Linked DNA regions of Styela clava. The protein of the gene in region 1 purifies or fractionates together with the protein of each later gene. This does not show direct contact. Links are inferred from orthologs where the notes say so. Each region holds a gene or a part of one and is shown on either strand. Other genes may lie near its edges. The genes, in order: ribonuclease 3-like and microprocessor complex subunit DGCR8-like.

What was found.
Region 2: the proteins of ribonuclease 3-like (region 1) and microprocessor complex subunit DGCR8-like purify together in Drosophila melanogaster (affinity purification with western blotting; 4 studies listed by BioGRID, with this or other methods). This does not show direct contact. The link is inferred for Styela clava from reciprocal best matches to the Drosophila melanogaster genes drosha and pasha.

What each region holds. Positions count from the first base shown.
Region 1 is NC_135258.1:12,023,409-12,033,457, reverse strand, and holds the start of ribonuclease 3-like, read left to right. Parts: upstream 1-6,193; 5' UTR 6,194-6,383; intron 6,384-7,056; 5' UTR 7,057-7,086; coding exon 7,087-10,049. Other genes in the region: isocitrate dehydrogenase [NAD] subunit gamma, mitochondrial-like, read right to left, coding at 52-112, 689-783, 1,150-1,232, 1,854-2,020, 2,519-2,652, 3,154-3,286, 3,607-3,670, 4,153-4,257 and 2 more.
Region 2 is NC_135250.1:22,756,086-22,766,246, reverse strand, and holds microprocessor complex subunit DGCR8-like, read right to left. Parts: upstream 4,635-10,161; 5' UTR 4,263-4,634; coding exon 4,082-4,262; intron 3,418-4,081; coding exon 1,748-3,417; 3' UTR 600-1,747; downstream 1-599. Other genes in the region: serine/threonine-protein kinase OSR1-like, read right to left, coding at 434-503.

The DNA.
Region 1 (10,049 bases):
GTTGTGGCAGCAGACAGTCAGGGTTATATCAATGATATCAGTTTGACTTACCTTATCTATTAAAATTGTGTCGATGATTGCATGATTAACAAGGCTCGCATATTTCTGAAGTCTGAAAAATGATATATAAACAGTGGGTTTGTAAACACAGTAACTTAGATATGGTTGAATCGAAGATTAGAATAAAAGTTTAAATTGTAATTCCCCATTTCTATGGTTACCCGAAGTGTCATTGCTGCTGTTCATCAAACTTAAAAGGGAAGATCAAATGTTTCCGAAAGTTTTTGTTGAGAGAACACAATAAAAAAGGGAAGATATTTCATTTTGAACGATCATGTCAAAAATATGCATATTCAAGTGGGTTTTAAAGTCTTGGAGCCTATGATAGTTAAAAAAAACTATGTCCACTAAGAGGTAACACAGATTTTCATAGGTTTGTGGGATTTGCGTGTATACCTGATGTAATCGCTCGTCTTCCAAAAATGAACAAATAATTCACAATAGCTCCCAAGATGAATACTTGGGAATTAAATGGTTGTCATTTTTTTATTGAAGCTCTCATGAGCTCTTGCTTTAGCAAAAATGCAAAATTCATAGATGTAACAAATAGAACCCACATAAAGTAATGTATAAACTTGATACGTCATACATTTCATGTTAATTTAATAATATATTTATAGCTGCTTACCCAATATACTTCAGCATCAAGGTGCTGGCAAAAAGCATTGCATTTGGATTGGCTATGCCAAGCCCCGCAATTCTGCTTCCAGTGTTTCTTGTTGCCTAAAATAAAGATTTTCTATTATTTTTAGAGTTAATTTTTTGCTATTATCCTTTTGTTGGAAGAAGTCACATTTACAATTGTATTATTTTTCATATTTAAATTTCTGAACCCAATGATGACCCACCCACTTGCCTAACTCTTGGTAATACAACTAACCACCAGTGAATGTCAACATACCGATTCAGAATATTCTCATGATTCGAAGGAGAATGATAATTTGTGTGTAAAAATCAGTGAAAAATGTACTAGTTGTTGAAAGTAAGAATATACTGATAGTTGAGATTACTTTGCCATCTGCAAAATGATATTATTTCTTTGTGACATTGACAGAACAAAAATATTAAATGACCTCCTCAGCTACTTACAGGCTCAAAGACGCGATATTCATCACCAATATTAGAACCAGCCACCATTCCTGGACCTCCAACCAAACCACAACAAATGTTACCTGATAAAAAATATGATAAATCCAATTATATAAACTGTGTCATGACGATAAAAAAAGACTGAAAAATCTATTCTCTTGAATAGGTTTTTTATTTAATTAGTCAAATTAACGCATTTCTTTTGCCAAATGAGAATGGTTGAATATATAAAGAAATAAATCATCACAAAATTTATCACATATATACAACAGTTTCTGAATACCGGTAGTACCTGAATACTATGCAGTGGATAATGCCATATATATGCTTCGATCAAGAGTTCTCAACTGCGAGCAAATTTTGCAAGCAAAAAATTTACACAATTCCCTACCGCATGAATAGGCTACCGGTTTCATTTCAGCGCATCACCAGTTGTGCAGTTGACCAATAAAATTGCAATAAAATTGAGATTGCAATGTCTTCTATTGCATAATATACGTTTTCAAACTAACTATAGGAAGACTGTCCAATCCGGTACCACTTTTGGATACGTTACATACTGCAAACTGAAATAGCATACTCCAGATGTTTTAAAATTAACCAAGGAGTAAAAGAATAGGGTTAGAAGTACTGACTCGGATGATCACTCAGATATCTAAGAATACTGTAATTTCTGTAAATAACGGATGGGAAAATAGTCTCACCAACTATATTCCCATACAAATTAGGCATGACCATAACATCGAATTGCTCAGGTTTTGACACAAGCTGCATTGTCGTGTTGTCAACGATCATATCATTGAATTCAATGTCAGGAAAATCTCTGGCAGTCTCTCGACAACATTGTAGAAATAGTCCATCTGCTAATTTCCTAAAGAAAAAGGAAGATAACACACTCAATGATTATTACTTAAATATTGGTATGAATATTGGTCATGAATGAGTTTTTTTATCATTGACCAGCCATTTATAAATACCTCAAAATAAGTGCAACGTAATGTGGACTTCATAGATCTGCATATGTAGCAGCCATAATGGTTTACATTTTATTAATTTTATGCTAATAAAATGAAATATTCCTTCCGAAGTGTTGTGAATTGTATTACAAGTGTACATGTGATGAGCGTTCTAAAAGTTCAGGAACTAACCTAGCAACATTGGTGGAATCAAAAATTTGTTGCGAATACAGCTAGAACAAGATGTGATCTGGCATCCTACATGCATATGCATCAACTGGGGTTGGTAAGCACGATAGATGTCAATCCCAATGATGCCCATAAAACTATTTCATGATATCTGAGCTGTTGTGCCAGCATGCCTATAACATATATCCAGTGGTTCTGTAGGCAGAAGATAATGAAATGCTTACATTATGTTAGCTTTATGAACAGCGGTAATCTTCTTTCTTTTATTTCTCCTCGCATATTCAAATGCAAACTTAGCAATTCGATATGATTTTTCTGCTGTGATGATTTTCAAGCTTTCTACAACACCTGGCATACTCTGAAATACAATATAAAGCATGTTTGAAATTTATACAGGATGATTCAGGAAAGAAATCAAAGATCAAAGTCAACGCTAAATATAATGTAATGAAAACAGAACATCATATCAGTCCTTCCAAAACAGATATTACCATACAAGACTAGTAAGACTGTTCATAACAATACCAAGATGTATTTGATAAGACAAAATGAGAGAATAAAACTTTGTTTTAGTCAAAGATACCGTATTTGCAATCAACTGATGGGTACAATATGCCCCATTAGCAGATCTTATTGAACTTGACGATATTTCAAGCATTTTTGAAGGGAGAAAAGTCTTAACAAGTACATTCATTGTAATGATATATTAAATACGGAACACTACTGGCAATGGGCTCACAACCATATTTTAGATGAAAAAGAGAGTTATGAATAGATTTTATACACCTAAATCAAACTCAACCATGTATCTGACTCTAAATGAAACTATAGTTTCCTTTTAATAACTCAATGTCCCTACCTCATGCTCTAAACTTGAATATTCTCCCTCTGTGTTTTCTCGAATAATACGAATATCAACGTTGTGATTTCTTCGACAAACGTCAGGAACAGATTTCACCTTCAGCACATTAGCAAACAAGTCCAGTTTTGTCCTATAAAAGAATTACCAGCAGTAAGTGTTTGACCCAGAACAAACATACCATATTGGGTTCCTACATTCAATCAGGATATATCCCTAATATATTGTAGTATATGTGTTTGATTAAATACATAGTATTTCAGTAGAGTGCAGATGGGGCAAGACCAATGACAATCAAGTTGAAGAATTTTTCCCTTCTGCATTTTAGATTTAATATCGCCAAGGTGCTCCCCTAATTATTCGACCCAATTCATGTCTTGCTCGGGAAATTGTTTAAAGAAACTGAGTTTGAAATTTGCAGCTATAACCATTAAACAAATCAAAGTGAACAACCTTATGACCATGTTTGCTGATTTCTCATCAATATCCATTTTGTCAAATTTGGTATCAATGTTTCCTGTAAGTATAAGACATTTATTCAAAATTTAGCATAAAGATATGATTATTGTTGGTTTAATAAGGGAAGCTGTCAGCCAGTGGAATATGAAACTACAACAGTATATAGCCTAGCTTTTTTGATAAAAGTTTTTTTAATAACTCCACTTTGTGAAATCACCCAAATATTTCCCAGACAGTGAAGATTTCAATTTTTTCAAGTCTTGTGTCAACTGATTTATATTGATAAGTTTGTCCCTAGAGTATATATATATATATGTGGCTCTCGAGTCTATGTGACAGCGGAGTAAGTAAAATCTTTTGTTTCAATTGACGGTTCGATACCTTGCTAAAAGCAAGCTTGGCTGAAAAAAATTTCTCCAAATGATAATGTGACCGATGAGAGATCATAGATTTTAATTAACATTTCCACCATATTCGTAACAATGATTCACAAGTAAATTAGTGATAGTGCTGACATAAATTTTGTAAAGCTGTACGTGCCTTTGATGGCAACTTCATTGCGCTTAATCGCAATAATTGCCTCCTCAGTATTTCTTTCCAAACCTTCTGACGAGATGTCAACTTTCTCAAAATCCACTGGAACACCTGGATTGAAACAATAACAGTACAAATAGATTAATATTATATACAACCATACATTTCTATCATTTTTGAATATCATTAACCAATCTTAAATGATAGAAACAATATCCAGATATCCAAAATGAAACATTTGATTCAAAATAGTTATATTGAATATTTTAAATTTGGTGTAGGAATAATTTAGGTATTTATATTAGAATGGAAAAATTATCATATTGAGCAATTGAAGTATCACATTATGACATTGTCGCAAAAAAATCTTCATTCAATTCTGAAAACTATAATAAATTGAGAACCAATCAATCATTATTTATTCAAGTTTTCCTGTATTTAAAATTTAATCTCATTCAATAGACTTTACCCTCTATGTTTGTTTTGTTGAATAAAAAGATGCAGACCTGGTTTATCACTGTTTTTGCACGTTTTTTGAGTCAGACACCCCAAAGACACACTAAAACAACCATCAACCCTTACCAGCAGTTGTAAATACTCTTTCAACAGACTTCATGATTTCAGGGCCAATTCCATCTCCAGGAATCATTGTTATAGTATGCCGCCCACCATATTGTGAAAAGTTTCTTAACAAAGAACATGATGGTCTGCAACATTGAAGTGCCTGAAACACAAATGAATCTTTTATACATATCAAGTCAGCAAAGCTGACAGTTATTAAGATCAACTGTATATATATAATCTATCATCTTTATGATAGAATCTAACCCCTTTACGATTCTAACTATTGAGTAATACATTTTTGCATAAAATCTGCCATTCCTTCATGTGAAACTGCACATGTGGTAGGAAGAACTAGGATAGGATAGGATTTACATATTTATCCCGGGGGAGAGGAAAGCCGATAAGACGGCTTATCCATATGGCAAACCACGGCCTCTCGTCCGGTTACCATTCCAAGTCGGGTATGGGATTAGTTATATTGTTTGTTTTCGGAAGCATGGACTTGGTGGTGGAGGAAGCCGTAACCGACCAGCGGTTACGTGAACCACCCAACGACGGCGAGGAGTCCAGCAATCGGGTCTCATGTAGTTTCTTACCTAACATACTTCTAGTGGGTGTAACATGACAATTTTTTTACATATCAATCCTAACCCCCACCTGACCACACCATCCAAAAATTACGTCACTACGACGTCACAGTGACGTAATAGAGCCCTTCAAACTATGCGAACAGTCATCCAAGACGCGCAGACGAGAACCCGAAATCGAACAGCTATTTCTCTCGTTTTCTCGTCGCAACGATCCCGATAGGAGAGAGGTCGTTGACGTCAGTCAGTTCTTTATCGTCGGCGCCGATGCTATTTCGGGCGATCGTACGAGTATTTGGCAAGCTCTATGACGTGATTGTGACGTCGTAGTGACGTAATTTTTGGATGGCGTAGTCAGGTGAGGGTTAGGATTGGCATGTCAAAAAATTGTTATGCTACGCCTACTAGAAGTACGTTAGGTACGAAACTACACGAGACCCCAGCAATCCTCTCGCACATAACCATCCCTGCATGGGATTCGAACCTGCGAACCCACGCAGAGTAATTAGAGGTGCGGTGGCGAGCGTATTCCTAACGCTTAGCCCATTGAGCCACACCGTCGCGCCAAACTATTGTTTTTTGCAAAAATAAAATCTAACGTGCTAAGAGTTATTAGTCTACAACAGTACAGAGGATGAGTTATTGCATTAGATACTACAATTTATTTGACATACCTTGTTTAAACTTTTCTTCCCCGCCATACCCAAAAATGAACTTGAAACAATCATCTTCGATGCCAGAAAACAGAAACAAACCCAGTCAGCAAACACAGAGTATTGAAAGAAACCTGGCGCGAGTACAAGACGATTTAATAAGACAATAGGAAGAAATAAGATGTTCAACTTTAACCCGGTATTTATTCAAGGACTAAGAAAAAAATAAAACTAAAATCTTTTTTACTTTCTTTCCTTGGGCGGCGTAAGCATAATTACAGGGCTTAAGTTAACTCATAATTGGTCGCAGTTACATGCGGTCAGCGGCGACGTCTGAACGTCGGTTTTAGATTCAATTTGTTGTTGCAATGTCGTGAAAAGAAGACTGGGCGGCATAGTTCAGTAGTTAGAACGAAGATTCATAACACAAAAGGTATGTAACTCGTATTTGTCTAGTCGTTATACAGTTATATACCCATGCCCTTAGTCTTAATAAATCTCTGGGAAAGCAGTTTGATACCTAAAAAATCTGAGAATGGTATTTCGTTGTCGTTTGCATGTGCTGATGTGGCTTGAAAGCAGAATCGATATTTTTACCTGTGAGTGATAGCCTGATACTTTTTAAAAAAATATATAAATGTGTCAATTTGTGCTCATGTCGGTCTGACAAAGTCTGAAAGTAAACGCCACAAACCGCTTGAATAACACCAAACAAAAATGTGATATGAAATTTCTATATTCTTCGAGAAAATAGGTGCATAATGAAATTCTTGACAGACGCGCTTAGTTCTGTAGTTAAAATCATTTCTACTCAATCTTCAACAAAGCAGGTAGGTCTATGTCCCATACTAAAATACATATTATAGCATTCTGCATTAAACAGACTTTTTTTTAAATAATGAAAACATGGGTGGTATTTTTACATCACATTTTGTTTGGCGTTATTTCAGCAGTTACGGCAGGGCGTTTATTTTGCGAGACCTCTCATGTCTATTACTTGAAATAAAGCGAGATACACTGCTGAGATACGATGTCAGAGTTCCAACAATCGAAGCAACTAGTACATCTAGAAATCTTGAGCATCCTTCTTATTTATGTTACTACAGGTTCTTCTTTATAAAACTGTTAACTTCAAGATGTATCCGAGGCATTCATTCCCACATGATGGCCCTCCAAGGCCACCACCCTCACATTGGGATTCAAGACCTATGCATTCGAATTACCCACACAATATGGGACCAGCATATCCTTCTCAGCACCCATATGCTCCTCCACCCCCAGAGTACATGCCACAATTCCAGCAAAATGCACCTCCACATGTCGAACATCGCTACCCTTACCCACCACATGGTCCCCATGCCGGCCATCCAAGAATGACTTACCCCAGACCACAAGATCCTCATGCGAATTTTGGAAGACCACCCTTCTATGAGCCACAGATAAGGCCTCCTGGCCATTCTAGAGACAATATGCATGGAGATTTGCTTCATCGTCATCATGATATGAGACATACAAATGAGAGGAGAGAACGAAGACATAGAGATGGTTCTCATGGAGATCGCTACCATGAAAGAGAAGTCAGGGGATCACCCCATCACAGGAGTTATTCTTCAAGAAGTGATTCTGGGCGAGATTCCCCAAATCCAAGGCGTGACGACAGAGATGAAAAACCAAGGCAAGAAAATAAAACATTGCAACCTGGTTTCATTTGGCGACATTCTAAGAATGAAAAAGAAGATCAGGAATACAATGAATCAGAATACAGTGCAGAAAAGATAGAAGAAAAGTTAAAATCACTGCAACCGAGTTATGTCCAGTGCACCCAGCATGCCCGCTATTATGGTAGAACAACAGAAAACGATTCAACTGTGAAAGCACTACCATTGTTAACAGAGCTTTATGATAAATTTGAGTCTGAGCTTTCTACTAGACATGCAAAACTATGGAAGCCAAACGAGATAATGGAGGATCCCGAAGAAATAGGCAAAACATTAGAAGAACAAGATGAAAAAGATAAAAGTTTTACTTTGTCTCAAAGACTCGAAAACTGTGACTTTAGTCAGGAATCTTTACCAAGACAGAAAAGAGTTCGAGCAGCTGCTATTGTTAGAAGGTTGGAAGATTCAGCAAGAAATCAAGAAAAACCTCTTTTAAAATACATTGAAGAGGACAACCCTAAAGTTCCAACTTTTGCTTTAGCAAAACTCAAAAGAAGGCTTGAAAGATTAACTGATAATATGAAAGAGTCTGATACTACATATGATAGCGACGGAAGCGATCCAGAGGGAGAATTTGACAACGAAGATTACTTGCAACGGGCTGGGGAACTGATCAGTTCTATTCGTAAACTCAAGCATCATGAGAAGCGTCTTCATAACGAATTATGGTATAATGACCCTGGTCAAGCTAATGATGGCCCACTCTGTCGATGCGGAGAAACTGCCCGCAAGAAAGGTATCAGACATAAAATCTACCCTGGTGAAAAACCACCCACCGGCTGGAAAAAGAATTTTAATAACATTGGTAAAATGTACAACTATCTTGTTACAATCAGTCCTCCTGTAAATTATGAGTCATCTGATCCTACAACTATTCAATATGATGGCAGAGATTATGTCTTCGAAGGTTTTTCCATTCTATCTGATGAACCACTGAGCAAACTACCATATTGTGATCTGATTCGATTTCACATTCGGTATACAATATACTTGATAGAAGAGCCAGTTCCTGAAAACTTCTGTATAAGAGGTCTTCAACTTTTTTCAGATTACTTCTTCAGAGATATTTTGGAATTATATGATTGGGTTGATATCCCAAAGTCATGCCCTGAAGAGACGAACACAGAGGTTCATAGAAAGTTCCATTTCTTTCCTCGCTTCGTGAGACCTCTTCCAGATAATGGTAAAGAAATTTTATCATTATGTGAAGTTCTTAGATATTTACTCTCCCATAATAAACCTTTGATAAGTGCGAATGATTTGACACATCTTATGAATTGTGACCACAGGGAATGGTTGAACTACACAGATAAAATCAGAGGCATGATCGTTACATTCCCTGGTTCAAAGCCAAGCTCACTAAGAGTAGATCAAGTGGATCGTTATGACAGAAAATCCGTAGAGAATCCGGATGTAAAAAACGAAGATCAAGATGATGAATATCCATTGATCATCCATTTCGGAATTCGACCTGCAAATCTAAGTTATGCAGGAGATCCACAATATCAAAGAGTGTGGAGATCATATTTGAAACTTCGTCATTTAATGGCGAATTCTCCGAAAGTAAAACAGTCTGACAAATTTAAACTAAAACGAAGGGAAGAAGCATTACAAGAAATGCGACGTGCAAAGGTGATGCAAAGAGAAGTTACAGTTGAAGTAAGCAGTAGGGGTTTCATGAAAACTGGAATATTTTCTGACATTTGTCAACATGCTCTTCTACTGCCTGTGTTGACGCATCATGTCCGATATCAACTGTGCTTGGCAACTTTGGAGAAACAGATCGGATATGAATTTAAAGATAGAAAATGGCTTAGTCATTCTATGAATCATCCCAGTTGTCAGATGAATTTTGGTTCTAATCCTGATCATGTTAGGAATGCTCTTTCAAATTGTGGCTTACGGCAACCCAAATATGGAGATAGCTCTATTCATTATAAATACACACGGAAGCGGGGTATCACGACTCTCATTAGAATTATGGCAAGGCTTGGACAAAAACGACCCGTACTTTCACCTATTGAGCATAACGAAAGATTGGAGTTTCTTGGTGATGCAGTCGTGGGTTATTTAACAAGTATACATTTGTTCTTTATGTTTCCGGAGCTTTCTGAAGGTGCACTTACGACTTTTAGAACTGTGATTGTCAACAACCAGCACCTGGCCCAACTTGCAGAAAGAATGCATTTGGATGAATTTATGCTGTACGCACATGGACCAGACTTATGCCGAAATGCAGATTTACGTCATGCCATGGCGAATTGTTTTGAAGCTCTTATGGGTGCAATATATATGGAAGCGGGTTTGGAAAAAGCACAAGAGCTATTTGCAAAGTTTTTATGGGATACTGATCAACTCCAAAAAATTTGGTTGGATATCCC
Region 2 (10,161 bases), on another chromosome or scaffold:
ATATATGCCTTTTTGAAAATATAATATGTGCTAGAATGTTGCACATACCATAAGTTGATAGGTATATTACTCGAATATAAGATTTAATATTATCTGATACTAACATCTCAGGTGCCTCTATTGACAACTGTTGAAAATGAATTGTCATTTGATCAAATTGAAGGATTCGATACATTAAACATGAAAAATATTTGAGAATAATAAGATTAAATACGGTAAATATACCATGAGTATAAATTGACGCCCGGTGAAATAAATAGCCCGTCTCTAGTAAAGGCATAACAACATACATTGCGCAACAAAACAACAACATTGCAAACTGCTCTCTGGTCAATGACCACATTTGGTCATGTGCTTGCCCCCTGTCCCTAGGGTAAATTTACCCCAAGTTGATAACCCTGGATTATAGACAATCATAAATATATTTACTCACCAATAACTTCTTGCAATTCGTACTCATCTTTGCTGATAGGCCATGGAATTTCTTCTTTCGTTGAGGCCATTAACAACAACAACAACCAAACAACAATCAAGAGAATCTCTTCCCTGCACTTCAGACGTGCAAAATCTAACTCTTCCTTACACTAATTATAGCAATGCTTCAAAATACAAAGTGACATTAAGTGAACAGCTAAGCCACAGTAGCACATAGAAAAAATAGCAAAATGAAATTTATTGAAATAGCTAGGCCTTAAGATGTAAATTACAGTATGTAATGTAATTAGCCCATCTTATTTCATTTTGAAGAAAAATTTATAAATAGCATTCTTAATTTGGCAATCTTCATGAAAAACCAATTACCTCAGTAACTCAGGATATTCTTACTGTATTGTACTCGGGTTTAAAAATGAACAGTGCAATTAAAATTTGAAATTAGTCTTGTGTGAAGAAGGCATTTATTGGAAATTTAGATCATTAAATTTCTTTATTTTCAGTGAAATTTCCTTGAATACGAGCAAATCATTCTTTCTATATAGATTTACACAGTATTTGAAAAAATCTTTTATTCGAAATTATTATTATTTCCTTGAAAAATTTGCACTATTTTCTGAGTAAAATTTGATTTGATTTCAAAATCGTTGAAAATATTGCAAGGCAGAAATTTGAGAAAATAAATTTTCAAATACAGACATCTCTATTTCAAGTCGGTTTGAATAGAAAACAAATAATCACATTATTCACATACATAGAAATAAAAAGACATGATTACGGATCCTCATTCGAAAAAAGCCATTATCAATGATAAGTTTGCAATACCTAAAAATATGGAACGATTAAGTAAAAAAATCAACAAATCTGAAACGTTCGCATATATTCCAAGAAAACAGCAAGGAGTTATGGAGCTGTCAGTCAATAATTTATGCCATGCATACTGAAAAGAGCGTTTTATATAATATTTTCATAAAAATCCTTTTTTTCTTGACGGTGAAAAATTTAGCCTACACCATTGTAAAATCAGATTCATAGGTTCGGTGAAACATGTTCGATACATGAGGACCTATAATTGCTAAAATACTCTACTTCGACAGAGTTTAAAATGAATTCATTACAATATACTGTTGAAACTAGGAGATCGAGTTATGAAATAAGCACCCAATACTTCACTAAAACCCCCATCACAAAATTTCTGAGCATAAGAAGTAGGCTACATAGTACAATATTCTGTTTAACTAATATGAATCTATTTACTAAGTAAATAGCCATAAATGCAACATTTTGAAAGTTATATGATTGTTTTTACTCAAAATTATTTACTCAAATCCATTTCTATTGGTATATTAAGCATTCCTTTCCCCGCTGCAACTGCTGCTTCCATTGGCGTCAATTTTGCTTTTTTCGCTGTCAATGCATTATCATTATCAGCTTTCCTCTTCCCTCTATCCGATTCTAATTTAAACATCATTTCTTGTAATTTAGCGAGCAATTCTGGGTTAGGTTCGAGAGAATCTTCGCTTTTCTGTTGTTGTTTACTCGTACTTGGTTCTTCCTGCTTCTCTTCGACTATATTTCCTCGTCTTTGTTTGAGATCAAAAATCTCCTGTTCCTCTCGTTTTCTTCGAGCTCGTTCTTGGGCGAGTGAAGCTCCGTATAAGGTAATCAATTCCATCCATGTTTTTATTTCAGGGTGTAGTAATTGTAAGATTTGTTGAGCAGCCATTTGTTTTCCAATTTTCTTGTTTTTAGCGACTCCGCTGACAACGTGTATTCCGCATTTCATAGTATAATTTAACGATCTTCTTTTTCCCTGCTGTACGTCGTAACTTACTGTTGTGTCTGTGACGCCTTGGTTTCGTTTCAAGCACTCAGTAAGCATTTGGTATGGAAGTAACTGTCCAGTATGTATACATAACTCGTAGACTCTGGAATCGGTAATCAAAACGTCATTGAAATATGCCATATCTGGAGTTTCAGCAGCGCCTTCTACTTGTCCTTTAAATCCTGGTATAAGCATTTCTAGAGTAGCAAGAGCGGCTTTATTTTTGGCTGTCTTTTTATTAATCGCAACTGCTGTTCCATATACTTTTCCATTCAGCTTGATCACTGTTTCAAATGGTTCGGCAGAATCTTCCCGAGTGTTGAAAATATAATTGGGCTGCACTTTCAAAACTCTTTGTGCATATTCATGAAGAATGCAAACCATTGGTTTTCCGTTAGTATTTAAAACGAATTTTCGATTTCTGGTTGTACCATCAGGGCCTACCTCTTGCTCAACTGTTAACGTGATAAGTTTTCCGGACCCGGGTTTTCCGGTATCAGCATCTACATCTTTTGAAGAATCATTTTCATCATTTTCTTCCAATTTTTTTCTTCGCATATTTCGTGTAAAGTCTCGACGTTGTGACCACTTTTTAAATCGTGGTATTTTTAATGTTTCAAATACAAAACGTTTTTCTAAATATTCTTTTAATTCTTTGTCTTCAATGCACATGTCGCTTTGATCGTGAAGAATAACTTTAGGTTGAGAGACACCATCAAGTTGACTTTTGTCATCTGAAGCTGTATCTCCGTTAGCATTCTGCTCCTGCTTTCCTTTTACCAAATCTTCCTGCTCAGTGTCTTCGTTCGAATTCTGAATCTGTGATTCTACATTACTTTTCAATTCGTTTAATTTTTCTAAATTTTTTTTATAATATAGACACGGTATACTTTGAAGTCTTATTTTATGTTTCCCTACAAAACCATGCAGCAAAGTGAACGGTCTCGATAATGTAACAACTTTAGTCTTCTTGTGTAAATATAACGGGATACCAGTTGTATGAGTTAGAACTACCCATCCCTCGGGTAACGGCTCTGTTGATGCCTTCGGGGAAACATGTTTGAGCACAGTTTTGTATTTGTAACCCAGCAATCCTTCAGGTTGATTTTCTCCGTTGGCATCTTCACTATTGTTTAGGTTGCTACTTGGCAATTGTCCATCTGTAACCGAATACAAAAATCAGATCAAAAAACATTACCAGGACAACCATATTCAGTAGTTTATCAAAAATTAAATTGCATTTGAGCAGATTCACAATAATCATGAAAAAACCGAGATATATCAGACGATTATCATAAAATAATTTTTATAGAACAACCTATTTAGGAGCCCATGAAGCCCCAATACAAACAGACAATTAAATCCTAACTCTGTGAGTGGCACTGAACAACTTTTCAATAAACAGATCTAATATAAATTTGAAGTTTAAATGTAATTAAAAATGAAGTAATAATATTCGATTACCGGTACCATTGTTGAAAAACAATATGAATTTCATAAATTTAGATTCTAGTTGTTTTCATGTGCTCGAGAAACATAGTACTGTAGTACAATTTACCATAGGTCAATAAATTGATCGAATAGTTCAACTGCGATTGATGAGAGGGGTTCATTTTGGTACAGCAGTAGATGATGCCAAACGACATAACATGGAAGTATATTATTATAGTTGAATACAACACAATTCAGAAATTATTTGATATTTTAATTTTCATTATAATATTGCACAAAACCCTGAAACTTCAATTTTATAAAAAAGCAAAAGATATTGTTATAATCATATATAAAATCACTAAATAATTTTTAAATTATTCAAATATTGACCTGCTACGTTATTCTCAGTTTCATGAAGTTCTTCATCTTCATATTCCTCGTCATCATGATCAGAATCATCCATCATTTCAACGTCATCATGCACGGATTCTTTTTTAATTTCAACTTCTTCTTCCAAACCTGACCCATTTTTCACCTCGGGTCCATTGTCATTTTGTATTACATCAGACATTTCACTTAAAATTCTCAAGAACTGGGGTTAAATTTTATATAAAAATATTGAAGACTGACAGCAGCATGTTTTCAGATGCAGTGCAATTATGCCACTTGGAAAGGCATAATGAACTGCATCGTCAGCATGTTGCTTTATCCAATAGCATGGTATACCGTACCGTAATAATTACACCAAAAAGCGACAACTAACAGACTAAGGGACAGGCAGACAAGTTTAAAACTGCCATGGTTATTCTGCTATTACAGCATTATTCTATCACAGTAACACTATTATTATAATATCAGAATATTGCACCGCAAGTTAGTCAGTCGAAGTTGGAATGAAAATAGCACTAGCCCGTTGATAAGAGTTAGATGACTCACATTCACACATACTGACTCTGAGTGTACGATACAATTTCCGAAAGCATATTTCATCGCGTTATCAATTGTAATGCGTGCCAATCCACTAAGTCACGCATATGTAACCTAACCAATGCAATATCCTATAAACCAGGTCGCAGCCATCCGAAAGCATGTTTCGTCATCACTCGCCAATCTTATACCTACCTACAGATGAACCATGAAAAAGCGAGGAAATGAAATGCCCGTCCCCACCTACGTTCGATATATGGGGTTTGGAGAGCTGGCTTTACATCGGCATATTATTATGCTCTTCTTTTCTCCTGTAATAACTATATAATAAAATTTACATATTTATCCCGGGAGAGGGGGGGGGAGCCGATAAAAGCGCCTAAACATATGGCCTCTCGATGCTAAACCCGATGAAGCCTGCGAGGAGTGTTTAAAATATATACGTACAAAAGCAAACTATAACGGAATGCTGGCCTGAGAAACGTGTACTACCGTAAATATGGTACTACACATGTACAAACAGACTGGAGAGCGGAGAATAAATCGTTTCCAATTTCATCCAAATATTTTCACTTTGATTGGACGAAATTATCCGTATTTAAGTTGATAGCCTTCATTTTATACAGCGTGTGTGTAGTACCCCCACTAAGTAAAATTGATCAATCTGAATCCCAACGCAATTATATTGCAGTCCCCTCGTGAGGATATTTGGAAATGATAATAGCCGTTATGGTGATTGTGACAAAGTTGTCTTTGGTGATCAGATTGAGAAGCATAATATCCGAAAAGTGACTACAATGACGCGTATAGCTGTTTGGTGTTGGATCGTGCAAGCTGGGCCAAAATTGGTAGACAGAGATATGAACACATTGAAATGGTACCAATATAAAGTTGACAAATATTCAACAAGACATGTGTATTTATACGATGAGAATGAGATATGGTCGTATGGAAACGTGCCTAACTCTAGTGTTAACTGATTGTATCCATCTAAATAATTCAAGATTCAGAAAAAATTGCATATCTCTGGATTTGTCTGGCTTTCATCAGGGGGATATGCCAATCTAGTGAGTCGGATTAATTCATCAAAAAGGTCAAACAAGATTATTTCACACGAGATCTCAAAATTAGCCATTTCAATCATCATAGTAGCCTAATAATTACTGAGTTTGATACTGAAGTGTTCTCTGAGGTAGTGCCTGGAACGGGTGGTGCGGCTTGGAAATAAGGAACCGGGATAAATATGTAAATATTATCCTAACAAACAAAATGATGGAATATATGCCGTACGATTAGCTAGATTTAACGTTAAAGTTTATACCACGAAAAAATGATAACAATAATGATAGAGAGACGAAATCCAACCCTACTGGCGTGTACATGGTGAATGTACGGTAGGCCATCATTCAAGATGAAGTTCGTACACGAATATTTACGGATGCAACAAATAATGCTGACTCGAGATGGCGATAGTAAGCTTTGAAGCAGACTGGCTTTCTGGCCAAAATCAACCGGCGGAAAACCGACGTGGTGACGATTTTTCAGCCAAGTGTGTAAGATCACTTTTGAAAGCAATTGAATATAGAGGAATTTCAGAAAACTTTTCAATCTTCGACTACTGAATATTTAAATATGATAAATAACTATACCAGCACTATAAAGATATTTTTTTGAAATCACACAATTGAACTTGGAGGCAGTTACTGCTGAGTTCACTATGATTAAAAGATTGACGTTTCTATGTCTCCTGGGAAAATGATCAACTTCAGTTGTATTCATCACTTACCACAAATCATAGTTAAATAAGTTTGACGCCGGCAATTTATTTATATGGGTTCATGAGGTTGCTGCTTTCGGTGCGTTCAAATCAATGCGTTTCACTACACAGTGGAATTCGTCAGTGATTATTCAGAAAGTATGAAAACAAATAAGTTGATGGAAACGAAATGGACCAACAGTCAACAATCATTTCGCTAACACGAGTAACATTGTAGGTTCATTGAGTTGTTTGTGCAAGTGACTACATGTTTGCTCCCTATCCAAACTAGACAATGAGTGTAAGAGGATTCGAATGCGTTATTTTCTATTGGCCCATTAAGACGTCAACAACAGCCAATTTGTAGTAAACACCTTAAAAGTTTTGAGTTACTACCGTAATAGTGAAAATTCCCGGTATGTAAAATGATTTACTGATTAAAGCACATAGCAGACATGTGGAAATCATCAAATGAAAAGCACATCGTACTGGGCCACAATAAAAATCGTAAGCAAGGAAGGGAATTCAGTGTGTACCTTTATATTAATAACTGTCCAGTAGGGAAATAATTTTTTCACACAGTTTAGTATGGTAAATAAATTTTGCTTACTGGCCCAAGTACGATTGTAACTTGACCATGTTTGATAGGGAGAACTTTCTGACTATGATTTGACTCATCTTTGTCGGGGAAAGTACTGTCAGTAAATGCTGCATTCAGCATTGTGTAGGTTTTTAAATCTGTTGGGAATCATATATTGCCTGTGAGGAAACCAAGAAATAAACAACCATTTCTTACCAAACTGACCTTTTAGAGTTAGTGCATCTTATGTAACGAATTCGAAGAAAGGTGTTCCCTGAGGATACCCTATAACTTTATCTAGTGTAGTACTTGAAGGTGCACCCGGGGACTTTGTCGCACAAGGCTAGGCGACTTGACATACAAAATTATTCCATTGGTTATTCGAATTTTTTATAATACTGAATTACGACGGTGAAAAGCTTAATAATAGGTACTCCCGTTGTGTGTGTACCAAGTTAGGGTTAGGCCACAATTTATTTCCGATTTTCCTTATTTTAGTTACATGACGAGTTCGGGGACTGTCTGTGTTAGCCAAGTGAACATACCCACTGCCCATAGGTTTCAGTCCCTTTACATTTACACAACTTGATGTAAAGTAGGCGAACAAAATTAGTTACCTCCACATTGGTACACACACTTCTGAAGCGCATAATTTTGTCATAATAATCCCTACGACAGTGAAAAGCCTAATAATATATATATTCAATAAATGCGATACTTAATGTTGTATGCGCACATAAACTATCATAACGCGGTCAGATTTCCAGTCGTACGTTTTCAACGGATTTGATCATTTCATGTAAACTTTTCGAGGCGGGTAAATGATAATTTTTTAAAGATTGATATTTCGCTACGCACAGCCTGGGAACCACACCCCAAAGTGATAAATAATCCAAATCATCGGTGAAAATAATAAGACTAAATACACAACATATATACTAATTATCTCTAACTTTCTTTGACAATTTGAGAGTTGATGTCACCAGTATTTCTCTCGTCATAGATTTTTCGCGGGGGACTAACCGATGCCAATAAAAACTTCGTAGATTTCGAATCTATGGTGTAAGCCAAGGCATGACTCCGATATTGCAACTTCCAAGTACTTTGTTGCTACATAAATACCACGGTGTTATTTTCTTGAAATCACATTTCCACCCAAGAACCCTGTTAACAAAATGACTAATATAAATTCAGTGAGAAGTACTTTATATTGCTCGCATACAGCGCAAAGAGAGAAAGGAGAAAACAGCCACAATTAAGAAAAATCAAATAATAAGAATTATATTCAACCAAAAAATTATTATCAAATAACTGGTGGTGGAACATAGAGGCCTGTCACAAGAAATCCTGAATTTATTCATCGAAGACCTCAGAGTAATAAAAAAACATCCACATTTCTGTCATTTGATAGTAACTTTTAAGTTGTAACAGTTTTCAATCGTAATAATAATAATGATAGAGATATCAAATAGCGTAAAGAAGCATGTGCCAATCAAAGCAAAAAATAATAATACACGATAACTATGATTAAAATATAAAGAACGAAATTGGAATAATAATTGTTGGACCTTGGTTACGTCATAATAAGCAATAGAACTGTCATCTTCAGGTTAGCCAAAATTTCACCGACGACATTTTCATTGGCCAAAAATAGCACCCTGCTTTTGGTGCTTGGCCATGTTTGAATCGATGTTCGAAAAATGGGCATGTCTTCAAGTTCAATCTCTTTGGACTAAATCACCGTGAAAAATTAGTAAATGTTACATATTTTTGACAGTGTTTATCATTTTAATATTGCACATAATGACGTTGGTTTTATGCAACAATAAATAGAAAAATGGAATGTGTAATAATCATTGTATTCAAATTTTAAGTAACCCTTCTTGACTGTAACTGTACTTCGAATCGAATTAAACTGTAATTCTATCTATGAAGGTTCATCATTGCCTTACGAACGATATGCCTGATACAATGGCAAATAAGGAAATTAGTTAGTATATTGGCCATTAAACTCAAATTAAATACGTGGTAATATAGCAACCAACCATTCATAACATAGTGCGGGCGACGGAGGCAGGAAGTCGGTATGATTCAATATGTTAATGGAGCTGATAGGTTTTTACAGAATCATATGTGGCCTCACATAAAAGGTTATAAATATCAATTGGTATGATAGAGTACCAATGGCCGAAGATAAAAACTTGAGTTGCGAAACGTATTATATTATGAGACTGAGCGTTCAGTATAACACGCGCGTTAGCCAAGCGGGCGGAAGTGACATCACGAAGTGTTCCTACGCGCCCACACTATACACGTTACCATCTTGACAGTGCCGAAATAATTAACAGTTTTCTAAATATGGTTAATTTGAGTTTATATATCAAAAGATGACAAAATTGAAAAATTTGGCATCCCTCAAGTGATCTAAGGTTTGCTGAATGATTATTACTAAATAGTGAACGACAAAATATTTCAGAATTTTGGAAAGAAAATTTTCCCACTGGACGAATTTCCATCCCTGGCATTTATAACGCTTTTGGTGAGCATAACGCATAACTGCTAGTCATTGGGTTTTGGGCTTCGATTGGCTAGTCATTGGACAATCGATACTGACTTACAGTTCGCAAGCTTTTTACAGACCCTGGTATGGGCCTTAAATATCCCGCTAAGATTAGGCGCAGATCACGTATGGCGCATACTTAAAATAACAATTTTTTAATCAAATTTCCTCCTACAATTTCATATTTGTTTGGTAATAATCAAAATGTTTTTATTATTACGTCTGTTATCAGTTGATAAAAAAACATATTTGGCGCGGAAACGGTGTGCCTATATGGTGGTACATATTCAATAATTATCCATATCCATTTTGGTATTTTTTACACGGTTAGAACGCTCAAAACAGTTGGTATCTTTGCGCTTTCTTTTAACAGTTTGGTCCAGAATAGAACACAAAAAACCATATGTATACCAAAGTTAGACACAACACTGGAACAACAGCACGGGTGGAATTCATCTAGTTGTCACAAGAGATCGAATCATTACCATGGCTGAATGCGAATAATTTAATCTTGGCCTGGCATGTATATATAAAATATTTTTATTTTCAAATTTCTGACATTTGTAACAATTTTTTCCAGTTTTCATTTATTTTTTATTTTTGCAAATTTGTGAGTATTTGACCGTTAAGTACTCGGGAAAGTCATA